2 linked regions of the Rhinolophus ferrumequinum genome follow. The protein of the gene in region 2 binds, or shares a complex with, the protein of the main gene of each other region. Links are inferred from orthologs where the notes say so. Each region holds a gene or a part of one and is shown on either strand. Other genes may lie near its edges.

Region 1 (8,754 bases), on a different chromosome or scaffold from region 2:
TTAAAAAAAGTTTAAGAGCTATGGAGTGGTAATTCATGAAGGGGTGTCCTGTGGGTTTGGGGTCTGCCTCTGATTTCCCTTGTCAGTTCCTTATTTTAAAGACCTTTTGGTCAAGACCTCTGCCTCCTCAGACCCCATTATTTCATCCCAACTCATTCTTCAGACAGGGAAAACTGGCTGCCTTCTGCGGCCTGGCCCAGGGTACCACTGACACCCTCATTAAGGCTCTGGTGCCCCTTTTGATGGATTTTCCTGGCCCATTCAAGGCCTGTCAGTGTCCAAATGACCCCCGATCCTAGCCTGGGGTCAGGCTAATTGGTCAGAACCTCATGCCCTACTCAAGCTGGACAAATTTAAGGTTTCTTTCTTTCCCAATGTGGGGTAAAGGTTGGGACAGGGAAGGTGGTGGAAACCTGACTCCAACTCCCTACCAGGGCCAAATTCTCTAGCATCCTGATCTCCTATCATTCAACCTGCTTGTGCTCCTACTGTGATGGGTAGTTCACTACCTCAAAATAAATTCTTGCCCCATCTGACCAAGTAAATTTCCCATTCAAACCCTAGCTCCCATTTAGTTGCTCACATGTTCCAGTTTTTAAGCTCCTCCACCCACTTCTTGACATATCCCCTCGTTGTTCTCTCCAGGATGGGCAAAGTGATGTCCTCTGAGATCATATGGTCAGTAACTCAGAAGCCAAGGGCCTCCAATGGCCAAATCCACCCCAGTTGATCTGACAAGCTGTGTATGAGAGCTGATAAACAGGAGGCATTCAAAACATTGGCTGTCATCATCATCACCCTCGAGTTTATCCGAAAACTCCTATTCATCCTTCAAAACCCCATTTGGTTTCACCACCTGTCTTGCACAGATTGAGCTGTCAAGATCAGAGAGCTGTGATTTTGTGACCATTTGACAAGTTACCAAACTGATACCCAGAGCAGCCAGGCCACCCCTGATGTCCCTCAGCATCCAGCTCTCTTCTTCCTCTGGTTGCCCAATTCCCGGGCATGGGCATCAGGCCCGGCCAGTCCGGCTGAGGAGTGTGCAGACGCAGGCAGTGTCAATTCTAATCCATCGCCAGCCCACACGGCCCTGGGCATCAGTGGTCAATGCCCGCACATAGGATTGCTTGGCCTTACACTCAGACACCCAGTGCCTCCGGTCCACACCCCGGCAGCCGCCTCCACCTCCATCGGGGCCACCTTCCCCAGTGCTGTCAGTCTTGCACCGAGTCTCAAAGAAGTACTGGCGAAGGGGACTGCCGCCAGCTGCAGGCACCTCGCCTAGCACCTCCACCTCACGCCCACGCAGGTCCACAGCTGTCCGGCGGTCTGTCACCCAGCTGCTGACTGCATCGCACACCGCCAGCTCTCCCCGGCGACTTGCTGGTGCTGTCTCACTCACCCCTCGCCTACTTCGGTTAGCTGGGCTGCCTGCTGGCTCCCCAAAGGCCCCGGCCTCCAGCAGAAAGAGTAGAGGAGGGCCCGCAGGGGTACCCCTGGACAGGACAACTCGAGGAGACAGGAGGTCCCACTCAGGGGCTGGAAATGGGGGCAGTGGTGAGGGTGGGGGGTGGGGTTCCACTGGGACACTGGGGAGAAGGCAAAGGAGGAGGATGGGGAGGGAGCATGAGGGGTGCCGGAGCATTTCGCTGAGCACCTGAGGATGAAGACAGGGAAGCTGGAGTTAGAAAAGAGGGTAACAATTTAGGAGAGGACCTGCATGCCAGAACCACAGGGGGGCATTTGTTCTAGAACCTTGGGGGACCCTATATGCTAGGATTGAATAATATCCAAATTTTAGATTAATCATAATTATTCTACCTCTATTACTAATAATAGCCAACAATTGGAGAAATACAGGCTCAGAGAGGTTAGTGACTTGTCCCAGGTCACACAGCCTGCAAATGCCAGAGATGGGACTCAAACCCTGTCTGAGCAACTCCACTCTGCCATACTGCCTTGACAACCCCAAGGAACCCTAAGTCCTATAGCCTGGAGGAGGTTTGAGGTTCCAAAATTCTGAGAAAGACCATGATCTGAAATCCTACAGAGACCCAAGTTCAGCTCAAAACTGCCACTAAGAAGGCAAGACACTTTCTCTCCCAGGCAGGGCCTCAGTTTCCCTGTCTGTGAAATTGACCTGGGGCTGGGAGATTCAGGTGGGGGTGTGGACACTGCAGTTTCTCTACAATATTCTGGAAGCCTGTAGTTCTGGGAAAGGGTGGTGTGGAGGGGACTGGGTAGTTACCAGACCTGTCAGCACCTCCTCCGTCTCCGAGCTCCCAGGGTGGGGGCCCCCTGGCTCCAGGGGGGCCCTGTGGGGGACACAGGTGGCCCCCTCCTTCCTGACATCTCAGGAGACGGAGGGGGCAACCACCTAGGTGAAGAAGGGAACAGGCAGGTTATATAGGCAAGTGGGGGAGGGGGCCTGATTCCCTGGACACTCCCCTTCAGAGTGTTCCTCTTAAAGTGTAAGGTACCCAAGAGTCAAAGCCTCACCCCCTTCCAGAGGCCCCTTCCCTGCCCAGGTGATGGCTCCTGGCTGGGATGGGAAGCAGATGCGGGGAAAAGAGGGGAGGGGAGAGGCTGGAAAAGATTACATCCTCCTGGGCCCATTCATCTCCCAGACAGGGCAGGGGCGGGGCTGGCCTGGACACCCGGGTCCCTGAGGGCCCACACTCAAGAAGCCCTGGGTCCCCGAGGCTGCTTCCTGGAATGTTCTCTCCACACAGGACAGGCCAGGGCCCGTCCAAGACTTCTACTGCACATACCTGGAGTGGCTGCCTGCCCTGGCTGGGAGATGGGTAATGGGAAAGTGGGGTGTGAAGAGAGGCACATGTTGACCCAACCAGGACCAGGAGTGTAGGGTCCTCAGCTGCCTCCTCCCTCACACCAGGAGTCCTGGTCCCCAGCTGCCTGTCCCTTGGAGTCCAGCCCCCCCCAGACCTCCCCTCCCAGATGGAGAAGTCCAGGACCCCAAATCCTTCTTCCCTCAGACTAAGGAGTCAGGGCCTCCAGTCCCCTCCTCCCTCAGACCCAGGCGTCCAGGCCCTCAGCCCCTCCTCCCTGAGAGTTCTGAAGTTCAAGGACCCGCCTCCCCAGGTGCTCAGATATACGGACTCCCAGAAGATTCAGGCTGGGGCTCAGCATTCCTGAGACCTCACTGGGGGTAACCCGCTTCTCATCTCACACACTTTTCTCCTGCCTCAGTTTCCTCCGCCAAGCCCCGCCCCCGCCGGCCCCGCCCACGTCCCTCCCTACCCGGGGGCAGGGCGACCGGGACACCGGAATCCCAGGGGAGGAGACGCCGAGGCTCTTACCTGGGGCGTCCTCCTCTGCTCCTCCGACTGCCCCTGGGGCGGCGGCGGCTCCTCCTCCTGCTCGCTGGCTGCACGGACGCCCGCTCGCCCGCCGGTTCCTCGCTGCACACGCTCAGGAGGGCCCGGGTCGGGCGCGGGGGCGTGGCGGCGCCCGACGGCGGAGGAGGGGCCGGGGGATCCCGCCTTCCACACGCGGGCCGGGACCTCGGAAGCCTGGCCTGGCTCGTTCAGCCCTCCGCCCGTCTCAGTCCCAGGAGGCCAGGCGCCAGCCCCCTCCTCTCTCAAACCCAGGAGTCCGGGGTCCCTCAAGCCCTCTCTTCCCTCAGACCAGTAGTCTGGACCCCCGGCCCTTTCTTCCCCCCGTTTCAGCCCCCTCCTCCCTCAGACCCAGGAATGGGGACCCCTAGCCACCTCCTCCCTCAGACCCAGGAGTCTGGGCCCGAGATTCCTTTGCATTCTTTTGCCAATTAAGTGTCAATCCCCAGGCAGATTCCCATCCTCTGCTCTCACCCCCACTTTCCCAGGAGCTCCAGCCCAGACATTAACCAGCTGGGCTTGGGCAGTGATAAGGCCCGCCGCCCCGGGAGACAGTGGATGTGGCGGCTCTCCCGCATAGTCCTCTCTCCTGGAATTTCCTGGGTGGGGACTGGGGAGAGGGTCTTGTCCTGAGCTCAGATAAGAGAAATTCAAGGTAGTATAGGATTCGGAGATAGACAGGTATGACTTGGAAACAGAATGACCTTAGAGAAAGAAAGCGAATAGTGACAGATGAAGGCAGACCGGGACAGGCACAGAAACGGAGAGGAAAAGGGGACATAAAGCCAGAGAGAGGGACCCTAAGACAGACGGAAATGGGAGTTGGAGTTCCAGACAGTCCTGCTGCAGAACACTTCATCTCTCCCCTGGAGCTATTTTCAGGAGGAAAACTGACACCTGTCTTGGGGGGTGGGGGTAAGAGGCATCCCGTACCCCTCCCTCAATCTAAATATAGCATGGCAAGGTGGCAGGAAGGGTGTCCCCAGATTAGGGTGTTCCCCTCTCCTCTTCCCCATCCCAGCCAAGGCAACATAAAAGGTGGCTGCAGTTGTTTATTGGGGTGGGGGAGGGGCGCTTCTCAGTCATTGAGTGTCCATTCAAGTCACCGCCCTGACCTCTCCACACTTTCCCCCACCCCTAAGCACCCAGCATGTCCCGCCCCCTACCAGAGGGACTCTGTGTAACTCCTAGTCTCTGACGGGGTAGTACAGGTGAGTTCGCAAAGAAAAGTAACTGGGCAACAGTATCTGTCCCCCCTCTCCCCATACTCTGGGTCTCTGTCCCTCTCTGTCTGGGTCTCTGTCTCCCTTTCTCTGAGTCTCTCCATCCCCCTCTCTCTGGGTCTGTGCCCCTCTCTCTGGTCCCTGGCCCCTCCTCTCTGGGTCTCTATCTCCCCCCTCCGTTTTCCACCCCCCCATGCCGGTCCCCCTCTGTCTGGGTCTCTGCTCCTCTCTCTTTGAGTCCGTTTCCCCTCCCTCCTCTGGATTTCTTAGCTCCACTCTCTGGTTCTTTCTCCTGCCTGTAGGTCTCTGTCCTCACCCTGAGCGTCTGACCCTCTCCCAGGCCACTGCCCTGCTCTCTCCTCCTCCTCCTCCCGGTGGGTGTTTCTCTTAGCTTCTGTCTCTGTTCTCTCTGCAGATCTTGGGTTCCTTTCTGCGTGTGTCTCCTCTTCCAATCTCTATGCTGGGCTCTGTACCTGCCTACAAGACTCTGTTTTGTGTTTGCAACAGTGAGGGACTCTGTCTCCATTTCTGTCTCCAGATGTGCTTTTCTCTCCATTTCAGAGGGAAGTGACAATCTAAATTATTTCCGACCTTTATCAAACTCTTCCCACAATCTGTATTTTCTTCTTTCTCTCTGTATTAAAGGTGGTTGGATTAAATCACAGGTTTTCAAACTGAATTTCTTAGCTGCATTCTGAGTTGCCAAGAGGGGCTCCAGAAGAGGTGTGTTCCCCTCAAACCAGTTCCCTTCTGATGTGTCACCCTGGTGCCTCTAGGTAAAATTTCATTTGACCAAAAAAAAAGTAGGGGGGGGGAGTTTGTTAGAGCTAAAAAGAAGAAGAAGAACAAGAACAACACTCTGTAAACCACTGGATGGGTTTTAATAAATTAATACAAGTAAAGGACTTTGAATGATACCTGACACATAGGAAGCCCTATATGTGTTAGTGATTTAACCCTCCCCTTCTTCTTTTCCTCGTCCTCGAAATGCCCTTTTAGTACTGAAAGACTTCTGAAACTGTATGGCTGTGTGACTCTGGGTAACATCCTCCCCTCTGAGCCTCAGTTTCCTTGTTTGTGAGGCTGTTTGGACTCAGAGGTCCTGTGCGTACCAGCAGGCTGATGTGGCAGGCAGCCTGCCACAAGTCCTGGCCCCTGGTGACAGGCCGCGTGACTTGGGAAGCCATTCTCATGCTCTAAGACTCTGGTTTCTCCCCTGTTTGTCTGATGGGAGGATGGGGTGGCGTGCCCCAATTTGGGGATTTCTTTGTGATTCCATGGAATAGAGACTCTGTGTATCTCTCTCAGTCTCAGAGCACTAACTTTTTCTCTCTTGGCTTTCTCTGGGGCACTCTGGTCTGCCTATAGCTCTGGGTGTCTGTCCCTCTTTCTCTGGGTGCTGGACACCCCCTCTGGGTCTCTATCCTCCACTCTTGGTCTCTGTCCCCCTCTCTTTTTGGATTTCTGTCCCCTTCCCTCTGGGTCATTGTCTCCTCCTCCCTGAGTCTCTGTTCCTCTCTTTGGGCCTTTGTCCCCTCTTCCCTGGGTTTCTGTCTCTTTCTTTCTCTGATTCTCCATCCCTCCTCTGGTCTCTGTCTCACTCCTCTGGGTTTCTGTCCCCCCCATCATGTCTGGACAGAGTACAGTGTCATCCCGTCGCTCTCTTCCCTGTGGCTCTGATCTCCATTCCTGGAAGCAAAACTGTAGGGGAGGACAGATAGTAAGGGGGTTTGAATGGCAAAACGAAGCGGGTTGGTAAACAGGAATGTCTACATCTTCCTACTTGACCCAGAGGCTCTCTTCATGAACAACTGAATCTATGGATACAGAACCCAGCCCCACCCTTATGGTGAGTGACACTGGGCGAGCCAGTTCAGTTTTTCTCCCAGAGTCCATAATACCACACTCTCTCCCTGATACATGATTCCTCCCCAGTGCTGTTATCCTCAGGTTCTGGTGCTACCACTAAATGCAAAACAAACCAACATAGCCCTGTGGAGCTCATACACACAGCCCAACTCAACCCAACATTCCTACGGGACTCACAATGACACAACTTGATGTAACTCAGCTCAGCATGGCCCTACGAGACTTGAATGGTTATACAACTCAATACAACTCAACTCCAGTGGCCCCGAAAAACTTCCAGCCACATAACTCTACACAATCCAACCCAACAGAATCCTGGGAGACTCATAGGGTCATACATTCCAAGCCAACTTAACCTGATGTGACCTAGAAAGCTCACATTCTATCACTTGACTCTTCGTATTTCCACATGACTCACAAGTTCACAGAACCTAAAATAACATAGCTCTAGAAGAATCACGAAGTCACACAATTTTCAACATGTCTCAACTCCACAACACCATGCATGAGCACGCAATTAGTCCCAATAATGCCGTGGGTGGCCACCTAACTTGACCCAACATGGCCCTGGGGGACTCATAAAACCACAGAATCCTGCACAACATAGTTGGACACAACTCACCCAGACTGACAACCCAATCCAGCATGGAAGTAAGAAACTCACAAAACTATGTGACCGAACCTTTTTTCAACACTACCCCAAAAGACTCCACGAGACTTGCACAACCCAATGCAATACAAACTAGCACAGTCTCCCCCTCAACTCAGCATAACCCGCTGCCATTCACTGCCACCTAAGGAGGTACCCATAGGAGCCACCAACCCACAACTCAAGACCCAATAAGACTCAGTGTTCCCCAACTCATTACCACTTAACCTAGTTCTTCCTAAACCCAACCCCCTCCCCCCAACCTTGCCCTTCATCCCTCCCTTCCCGCCTCCCTCCAAGGAAGTGTGAGGTCCTGCAGGCCTCAACTGTCCCTCACACTTCGGTGACCATGTGTTTCCCAGGGGGTGCCCAGAGGGGAGGCGGTAGCTCAGGCACCTCTCCATCCACCAACCCGCCATTGACCTTGCCCTCGAGTGGGCCACAGGGCTGCGTGTCCACATGGCTATACATCCCAGGCTCCTCTCCCTCTGTCTCCCGGTGGTAAAAGTAGCTGAAGTTGGAGACAATGACGGGCACAGGCAGGGAAATGGTCAGCACACCAGCGATGGCGCACAGTGAGCCCACTATCTTGCCACCCACAGTGACGGGCGCCATGTCGCCATAGCCGACTGTGGTCATGGTGACCACTGCCCACCAGAAGGACTCAGGGATACTGGTGAAATGGGAGTCTGCCCGGTCGACCTCGGCAAAGTAGACTGCGCTGGAGAAGAGGACCACACCAATGAAGAGGAAAAAGATGAGGAGGCCCAGCTCACGCATGGAGGCCCGTAGCGTCTGGCCCAAGATCTGCAGGCCCTTTGAGTGCCGGGACAGCTTGAAGATGCGGAAGACGCGCACCAGTCGGATGACGCGAAGGATGGCCAGTGACATGGCTGGCTGGCCCACCCCCCGCTGCCGGGCCAGCTCGGTGCCCAGCGCCACAAAGTAGGGCAGGATGGCCACAAAATCAATGAGGTTCATCACATTCTTGAAGAAGGCCGCCTTGCTTGGACAGGCCAACAGGCGCACCAGCAGCTCGAAGGAGAACCAACAGATGCACAATGTCTCTACCACAAAGAATGGGTCATCGAAGGGGGTGCGAGGTGGAGGTCCAGGCACAGGGTTGGAGCTGTTCAGCCGAGTAAGGAACTGCAGGAAGGAAGGGGTTCAGGGAGGACCACACCAGGCTGGGACACACTGGAACAGCCACATATGTTGTTTAAATATCCAACTACTTATCTACAAATTGCTCAATAGCCGCTGCCCCAGGAGGCCAGTGACTCAGTTGTCATAGACTCTTTCCAAGGACCCCAGGGCTTGTCCCTGAATGTCTGACTTTATGGTCCCTCATCTTTTACTGGAGGGGCCTCATAAAATGATGCTTGAGTGGGACTCAACCTCTTCCCTCCCAAAGCCTGCCTCCAAGCATTGATTTTTCTAGGTAGGGAGGATCCCCACCCTGGCCCCACACCCTTGTGCAGTGCCCTCCCAAACCCAGCCCAGACTATAATGGTTAAAGACTTTTCTGTCTTTCAAACCTGGGGGCTCTCCCCTCACTGCCTCAGCCCAACTTTCTCTGTGATGTATTCTTCCTACCCTAGCCCTATGGGACCCATCCCTCTGTCTCCAACTCTCTCAGCTACTTTCTTCAGGA
Region 2 (8,647 bases):
GCTTGATCATCCAACCTAGTCCTGGGAAAATATTCAATGGGCAATTAAGATTCATAATCCAAATGGTCTAAAAATTATATCTCTGGGAAGTCAAGTCCAAATTAAATCAGACCAGGCTTTTAGGCTTCCAACGATCACATTTTCCCTTTTGAGTGAGTGCATTTCAACACTCAGAACTTCTCCTCTTACAGATCATTTTCAAGGCCATCTCTGGATGCAATCTCCTAAGCAAAATCTGATATATAAAATGAAAAGGGAAATTGGTGAATGCCAAACCTCAGAGAAAAAATGTTAACGGGGTCTCTAATCTCCTTCAGCAGATTTCAAAAAGTTAATTATCTTAACCTCCTTTCTAGTAAATATTACTGGAACTTCTCCTAACACAACAAACACATTGCACCTTATGAAACAAAAATATCCAAAACTAAGTTATTGCATATGGAAATCCTAAAGTACACCAGCAGGGCTTTGAAATACAAAGTACAATGGAATGCCTTCCATGTCAATTATATATATTATTGACATGTAAACTTAAAACTTATTTTAAACTTCTTCCCGCGTTATCAGCCCCAAGCCAGTGAAACAGACAGGTAACTGACAGATGGCACAGCCCTGCAACTCTCATTTCTGACTTCTGCCCAGACTTGAGACAACGTTCACAGCCAAGACGGACCGGTCTGGCTGGCCCTAGCCCCACGGGCCAGGGAAGAAAGAAGGAGAAAGATGATCAGGAACTCACATTTCGGTGATGTTCTCAGGATCTGCACTGTTAGGCACCAGCCTCGGAAACGCCACGATGCCAGGAGTAGGGTCGCTGCACCAGATCCGAGTAGCGCTGCATTTGCAGGACGTGGGACAGGCGAGAGCGGCCCTCCAGAAGCCCACAACCAACCAGCAGAAGCCCCAGAGCCGCGCCATGGCGGGTCCATGCCACCTCATCCAGGACGACATCCCTAGCCGCCAGTGCCAGCCCGAGTCAGACTGAGTACGTGTCCCTGGGCTGCACCAGCTGGCCTCTCCAGCCGATGCTGGGCAGTCTTTGCCGCGCTCGCAGCTCTCTCTATTCCGTGCTGGTTGCGGGCGCGCAGAGCCGAGCGTGTCCGGGGACTGATTGTGTCCTGGTGGGCAGCACCGTTCACAGCCGCTGGGGCATCTTGGGCCGTCTCACAGGGGGCGCTCCCGCCGCTTGGAGCTCCGCCGCGGCCGCCACTGCATGGCCCAGCGCGCTGGGCACCGGCCCGCGGCGCTCCCGGGACTCTCTGGGGCGCAGGCTTCTTGCTAGAGGCTCACTGGGATTCGGGACACACCTCGGGGCTGAGGACAAACAGACAAGCATAAGACTGAGCGCAGGACTCCAAACACCACGAATTGGTCCGCGCTCGCATCACCCCCACCCGGACCCCAGCCGGGAGATTGGATGGATGAGTGCCCAGCTCCCACCCCAAAAATAAACTTGCCCCTCGATGGCACTGATGCCGGTGGGGCCACCAATGTGCCCACCCTCTTTCCAAGCCTGAGGTCGAGGTAAGGGAGATAGGGCAAGGGTTCCTGAGACAGGATTCCATGGCACAGGCCAGGAGAAGACCCCTTAGAAGGGGAAGAAGGAACTGCCAGCGGCGATGGCTCCGCGACGGGGCCTCTGAATGATGCTGCAGAATCTGTCATTGCCGCTGGGCAGAGGGGGCGCGGGCAGGTGGCGCGGCCGGTCCCACCTGGTGAGCCGCCTGAGGCCGCCCAGGGGTGACAGTGAGGGCCAAGACGACGGAGGGCACTGTCCGCGCTGCTCACCCGGGCTCCGGCGCCTACCGCCAGCCGACGGCGCCTGGGTCCAGGCTCCTCCTGTCTCTGGGCACTGAGCGCGGAGAGCAGGAGAGAAGGAGCGAGCGAGGCTCCTGCTCCAACCCAATTCCGGGAGCCGCCGCCGCCGCCGCCTCTGCTACTGCTGGCGAAGTGACGTGAGGGCTGACGCAGAGCAGGGGCAGAAACTCCAGAAAATTAGTCTGAAATCCAAAAACACACACGCTCATACACACACAAACCCATAACACCCTCCAGACAAAAGCAACGGGGAGGGGAGGGGAATCTGGGGGCGAGCAGGGAGGAGGCAGGCATCGGTGCCACTGGTCAGAAGCAGACAGCAGCAGCATGTGGGAGTTCACACACGCGCATACACGCACACATCCTGGCCATGTAGACGCGCGTGCCTCGTGTGTGTGTGTGTGTGTGTGTGTGTGTGTGTGTGTGTGTGTTTAGATCCAGGTACCTCTGAGATGGACTGTTTGGCCGCTCAACGCCTACCAGTCCCTAATTCACACCGTAATCTCTTCCACAATCGCAGTAGAGTCTGTCTCCTTTTTTGAAATGGAAACCGGGCTCGGTTCAGCTCTGAAAAATGCGCTGATTCTTATTATAGGAATCCTCCCTCCCTTCTCTATCCCTGCTGCGTTTTCCTTTCCCATCCTGCCTAAAAGGGAGGGTGAGCTATCCTAAAAATAAATAAATATTGTAAACACCAAAACGTGTTCAGCATCGGTAACCAAGGATAACCGCCCCCATTCTGGGCCACCTATTTGGGGATCCGTGGTTTTCGAGGGTCTTTCTGTTGGTGTTTTTGCAGAGGAAGGGTAGTCTCCAAATGCAACTCTAGCTCTCTAAGTAGGTCTTTTTCTTGCTGTTTTCTGGCATCACACGCCAGGGAAATAGAGACTTGTGAGGGGAAAGGAGCGCGCCTGACGCGTATTGGGTTCCCTAAATGCGCGGCCGCAAAGCTGGCCTGTCCGATGTGTGGCGCCGCGTCATTTTCTCTCATCTGTCAACCTGGCAGGATGCAGCCATTCCCAGATTGTAGCTTCACTCCCCGCGATGCCCACCCCCATGCGTGTCACCCAGAGCCCTTGCTCCCCTGCCGTACCTTGCGCGTTTTCGTGTGTGCGCGGGTATGCGCGAACGCTTGCCCCGCGCCCACGCTGCCCAGAGCACGACATGAATCCAGCTACCGAGAAGCCCAGCACTAGCAGGGCCTCAGGGTCTCGTTAGGGACAAACGAGGCGATCCGGGAGGGTCGGGTGACAAACCGTAACTGTTCTGCGGGCGCAGTTAAATGATGGCTGCGGAGCATTCGCAAGCCTTGTCTGAGAATCCGTCTTCCCATTTGCGGCTCGGAGAGTCTCTTTTTCCGCAGTCATTTAAAAAGGAACTGGGAAAATGCACCGCAGTGCCTGACACTTCGGAGGGTTCTAGTGCCCCCGCGCGGGGAGAGAGCGCCCGGCACATTGGAGAGCACCAACCCAGGGCCGCGGCTGCGGCGGGCACAGCGCAGGGGGCGCGCTCTGGCGCCAGATGCGCAACCAGCGGCGCCCGACGCGTGCGCGCCCCTGCCCAGCCAGCTTGTGGCCCGCCAGGCCTCATAGAGCTCCGGCCGGAGAAAAACGCAGGCAGCACTCGGCGTCAGAAAGGGCAAATGAATGGGATCTCGTCCAGAAGATAAGAATGGTCGCCCATCTGTGTGAAGAGGCAGGGGTGGGAAGGATCGAGACCCTGAAAGTCTAGGTAAATACTTAGACCTCTGTAACGTTTTAAATATTACAAGGGAAGAGAAAGCATCTACTGGAGCTTTTGTGCAAAATCCCGACGCTGAGTGTAATCGCAGGAATCCTCGTGTAGCGCCCAAAAATCTCCTTGCAGGGCCGGAAGACAAAGCCAGCAGGTCTGCCTCTCTCCACGATCACTTGGCTGTGACACTCATTGGGTGTTGAATGGCCAGGCTGAAGTTCATTTCTCTGCCAGGCTGCCAACCCCTGCTGGGTGAAGACGTGCCAAGGAAGGGAAGCAAAGGGCAAAAATGTCTGGTCCAGGTCATAAAGTAACGCTCTTCCGCCTGTCTTGCCAGTGTCCTTAATGGAACTGCCCCTACAGAATACCCGAGGGAAGGGTGTGCATAATTACACACATCTCTCTCACACCCCACCCTCACCCCCTTTTTTTTCTTTCTCAGAAATGGCCCATTTGTGCCCTAGTGGCTGCAACGTGTCAGTGCAGCACCCAAAGGACACAGAGTGGTTTGCAGACCAGAAGATTCTAATTATGCTGTAATATTTTTAGAATTTGTATTTATTCATATATACTATTATATTTAGATTCTAAATATACCCCTACTAAATATCTCCCATTTAAAATTAAAACTGGAAGCCCCACTTCTAATCATCCTTCCCCTACTGTTTCATAGTCCTTACCATTTTTTAACAAATCATTTACTTATTTATTATGTGTACTATATATCGTATTTCTCCCAGTAGAACATAAACTCCATGCAGGCATGGATCTTTAGTTTGTTCATTAATATATCCCAAGGACACAGTAAGTGTTAAAATATCTGTGTGTATGTGTTTAATGAATAAATAAAAATTGAGATTCCTCCAACAGTCCATCTACACTCTCGCTTTCTTAACCTTCAGTCCTACAAGTCCATCTGAATAATTCCCTCTGGACACTCTCCCTCCCATCTCCACAACCTCGGAGTCCTCCCTGTGCTAGGAGTTCTGGCACAGGGAAGATTCCTGAAGCCTTACTTTCTGCCTTTCCTACTAGCCAGGTATGTTCTATCTAGCTCTGGGACAGAGAGGGCCTCCCTGACATTCATGCTGATAACATTATGTACAGTGCCTGAAACACACTGGTCAATCAATAACTATTTCTTAATTGATAAAAAATATGGGTCAATCTCAATTTTAAGAACTACAAGAGATTTCACAGAGATTTCAGGGATTCTCAAACTATGGTTTTATAGGAGATGATGAACATTTTGCAGATGGACAAAGTGAAGTAGGGGTAGTTTTCCCCAGATCATATGAACTCTTCAAGGCAGAGATGGAGACTGAGTGTTGCAGACTCCTGCCCATACTGGACCATGATGCACCTTGGACAGTATTTTTTAAACTATTTTCATCTTAATCCACAGTATGAAATGTGTTTTATATCACAATCCAATAAACACATATATGTGTGCATGTACTCAAAAAGAGCTTCACAAAACAAAACTCATTTACACTTAATATATGGAATACACTCATTTTTATTTTCTATTTTATACCATTTTATTTTTCAATGGTTGTTATAACCCAATAAGTTAATTTTACTATCCAAAACTGGGTAGTGGAAAAAAAAAATACTGCCAGCTTCTGCTTCTTACTAAGATGTAGTAATAGGGGACAGATTTAACCTCCCAACCAAATCATCAACACACTGAACAAAATACTTGAAATAACAATTCTCAAGACTGTAGACATAAGACAATGAAGGCTGTGGCTCAGGGAGAGGGAACTCAGGCAGAGCCCAACTCCCTGATTTGAGGAGACATAGCTGAGTGTTCAGGAAAATCAAGGAGGGCAGAGTTCACAAGGACAGAGGAGCAGGGAAAAGAGTAAGGTACAGAGAGAGAACTCCAGAGGTCTGCAGAAGGTCCCTCTCAAGTATTCAGCAGAGTACAGATTAGCACATGCAGGTGATGAAACTGCCTGGGGCCAGAGAAAGAAGTGCCAAAAGGATTAAAGGAACAAGGTCAAAGAAAAATTCAAAAGGGAAATGGAAAACATTACATATAAAAATTTATATTTACATGTCAATTATACTTCAATAAAACTGGGGGGGGGAAGATATTAAACAAATTTTTTTAAAATAATTTGTGAGATGCCCCTAAAGCATCTTAAATTATAGCACTAAATTCCTAATTAGAAAGGAAGAAAGGTCTCTAACCAGTGAACTCAGTTTCCACCTGAAGAAGCCAGAAAAATGAAAAGAAAATTAAATACAAAGTAAACAGAAGAGAAGAAATAATAAAGATCAGAGTTGGAAACAATGCAATAGAAAACAGAAAAACAGGAGAGAAAATCACTGAAGCCAAAAGCTGATTCTTTGAGAAGATGAATAAAATTAATAAACCGCAGGCCAAACTGACCAGGAATGAAAGAGAAAAGACATAAATTATCAATAACAAGAATAAGATCAATGATATCACTTAATCTATGGATAGTAAAGCAATAATAAGAAAATACTGTGAACAACTTTATGCAAGTAAGTTTTATAACTTAAATGAAATGGACATATTCCTTAAGAGATACAAGCTTACAAAGCTCACTATAGAAGAAACAGATAACCTGAATAGTCCTGTGTCTATTTCAGAAATTGAATTTATAGTTAAAAACCTTCCCATGAAGAAAACTTCAGGCCCAAATGACTTTCTGGTGAGTTTTACAAAACAATGAAGGAAAAATAATACCAGAAAATTAATAGTATCATAATCATCCCAGAAAAATGAAGATGAAAGAACATGTTCCAACTCATTCTATGGGGCTAGCATTTGGCTTGATACCAAAATCAAACAAAGACATTACAAAAAAAGAAAACAGCAAACCAATATCCCTCATAATGTTAAAATTCTAAACAAAATTTCCACAAATTGAACCCAGCAAAACATCAAACATCCAACAACATCGTGACCAAGTGAGGTTTATTCCAAAAACAAATTTTTTTGGTCTAATATTCAAAAATGTAATTTACCATATTTACAAACTAAAAATCTAAAATTATACAATCATCTCAAAAGATATATATATAATCTAAAATTATATGATCACCTCAATTTGACCAAATCCAACTCAGCAAACTAGAAATAAAAAGAAATATCCTCAACTGATAAATGGAATCAACAAAAAACCTACAGCTAACATAGTGCTTAAAGTAGAAGATGGAATGCTTTTTCCCAAATATCAGAAAGATATTTATTCATTTTCACCATTTCTATGTAGCATTTCTCTGGAGATTCTAGTCAGTGCAATAAGTCAAGAAGTAGAAGTAAAAGGCATCCAAACTGGAAAAGAAGAATAAAATTATCTTCATAAACAGACAACTTGATCTCCTATATAGAAAACCCCATAGAATCTACAAAAAAGCTATTCATACTAATAAGTGAATCATCCAGTTTTCAGGATACAAGTGAAGTGTTTATAAATTAATTGTATCTATATACTAGCAAAAAAAACAGGAATTAAATTTGTAAAAAAATAATACTAATTACAATAGTATAAATATACGAAATACTTAAAGCACAAATTGAAAAGGAAAAGGATGGATAAATTGGATCTTATAAAAATTACTAATTCCTGTTCTTCAAAAGATACTGTTAAGAGAATGAAAAGAAGAGCCACAAAATCGGAGACATATATGCAAATCATATATTTGATAAAGGGTTTGTCCAAAATTTATAAAGGACTCTCAAAACGCAATAATAATAAAAAAATATTTTTTTAAGTGTGCAAATAATGTGAACATATACTCTACCGAAGAAAGTACACAGGTGGCAAATAAGCACATGAGAAGATGCTCAACATCATTAGTCTCTGGAGAAATACAAATTAAAACTACAATGGGATACCTACACACCAATTGGATTGGTTAATATTAAAAAGACTCAAGTGTTGATAAGACTATAGGGTAATGGGAAGTCTCATACACTGCTGGTGGGAATGAAAAATGGTACAACCACTTTGGAAAAGTAGAGCACTTTCTTTTTTTTTTTTTTTTCCTTTTTTTTTATTTAAATTTATTGGGGTGACAATTGTTATTAAAATTACATAGATTTCAGGTGTGCAATTCTATATCACATCATCTATAAATTACATTGTGTGTTCACCACCCAGAGTCAGTTCTCCTTCCATCACCGTATATTTGATCCCCCTTACCCTCATCTCCCACCCCCAACCCCTTTACCCTCTGGTAACCGCTAAATTACGTTCCCCAGATTAATTTTCAAACCCCGTGGCCATCCTGTGGTCACCGACTGCCCTTCAATCCCTTCACCCACCACCCACCCCCCCCCCGCCCATCTAGCAATCCTCAGTTTTTCCTCTTTGTCTCCAACACTGTTTCTGGTTAGTTCATTCACTTATTCTTTTCTTTAGATTCCGCAAATAAGTGAGATCATATGGTACTTATCTTTCTCTGTCTGACTTATTTCACTTAACATAATGTTCTCTAGGTCCATCCATGTTGTTGCAAATGATAAGATTTCTTTCTTCTTTATGGCTGCGTAATACTCCATTGTATAAATGTACCACAGTTTTTTAATCCAATCATCTACCGATGGGCATTTTGGTTGTTTCCATGTCTTGGCTATTGTGTATAGTGCTGCAATAAACATAGGAGTGCATAAAGATTTTTGAATTGGAGTTTTGGATTTCTCCGGATAGATACCTAGGAGTGGGATTACTGGATCATAGGGTAGTTCCATTTTCAGATTTTTGAGATACCTCCATACTGTTTTCCATAGTGGTAGAGCACTTTCTTGAAAAGTGACTCATATACCTACCACGTGATCCAGCCATTCCAATTTTATGTATTGTCCCAAGAAAAATAAAAACATATGTCCATACAAAGACTTAACATAAGTGTCCATGCAGCTTTTTTTTTCTTTTTTTTTTTTTTTTGTACAGGCAAAAACTAGAAGCAATCCAAATATTCATCAACAGGTGAATGGGTAAACAAATTGTGTCGAATACAATGAAATGCTACTCAGCACTGAAAAGCAATACACTATTGATACCTGCAACCATGTGAATGAGTCTCAAAATAATGATGCTGAGTCAAGAAGCCA

The links.
Region 1: the proteins of NTRK2 (region 2) and NTF4 are in contact, whole or in part, in a crystal structure (PDB 1HCF), measured with the Homo sapiens proteins. The link is inferred for Rhinolophus ferrumequinum from reciprocal best matches to the Homo sapiens genes NTRK2 and NTF4. Residues at the interface, in NP_001018074.1 of Homo sapiens: Phe291, Glu293, Thr296, Ser297, Asp298, His299, Cys302, Pro304, Thr306, His335, Val336, His343, Gly344, Cys345, Asn350, Thr352, His353, Met379, Gly380, Trp381, Pro382, Gly383; in NP_001382418.1 of Homo sapiens: Gly81, Val82, Ser83, Glu84, Thr85, Ala86, Ser89, Arg90, Arg91, Gly92, Glu93, Leu94, Ala95, Asp98, Ala99, Ser101, Gly102, Trp103, Thr105, Tyr135, Phe137.

Annotation. Positions count from the first base shown.
Region 1 is NC_046298.1:44,372,071-44,380,824, forward strand, and holds NTF4 (neurotrophin-4), read right to left. Parts: upstream 3,617-8,754; 5' UTR 3,324-3,616; intron 2,381-3,323; 5' UTR 2,257-2,380; intron 1,661-2,256; 5' UTR 1,649-1,660; coding exon 1,016-1,648; 3' UTR 596-1,015; downstream 1-595. Other genes in the region: KCNA7 (potassium voltage-gated channel subfamily A member 7), read right to left, coding at 7,434-8,249. UniProt on the Homo sapiens protein: Target-derived survival factor for peripheral sensory sympathetic neurons. May promote ameloblast differentiation and subsequent reduction in proliferation of ameloblasts.
Region 2 is NC_046295.1:47,786,974-47,795,620, reverse strand, and holds the start of NTRK2 (BDNF/NT-3 growth factors receptor), read right to left. Parts: upstream 3,203-8,647; 5' UTR 2,912-3,202; intron 2,368-2,911; exon of another isoform or gene 2,264-2,367; intron 2,154-2,263; exon of another isoform or gene 2,001-2,153; 5' UTR 1,713-2,000; intron 1,315-1,712; 5' UTR 952-1,314; coding exon 740-951; intron 1-739. UniProt on the Homo sapiens protein: Receptor tyrosine kinase involved in the development and the maturation of the central and the peripheral nervous systems through regulation of neuron survival, proliferation, migration, differentiation, and synapse formation and plasticity.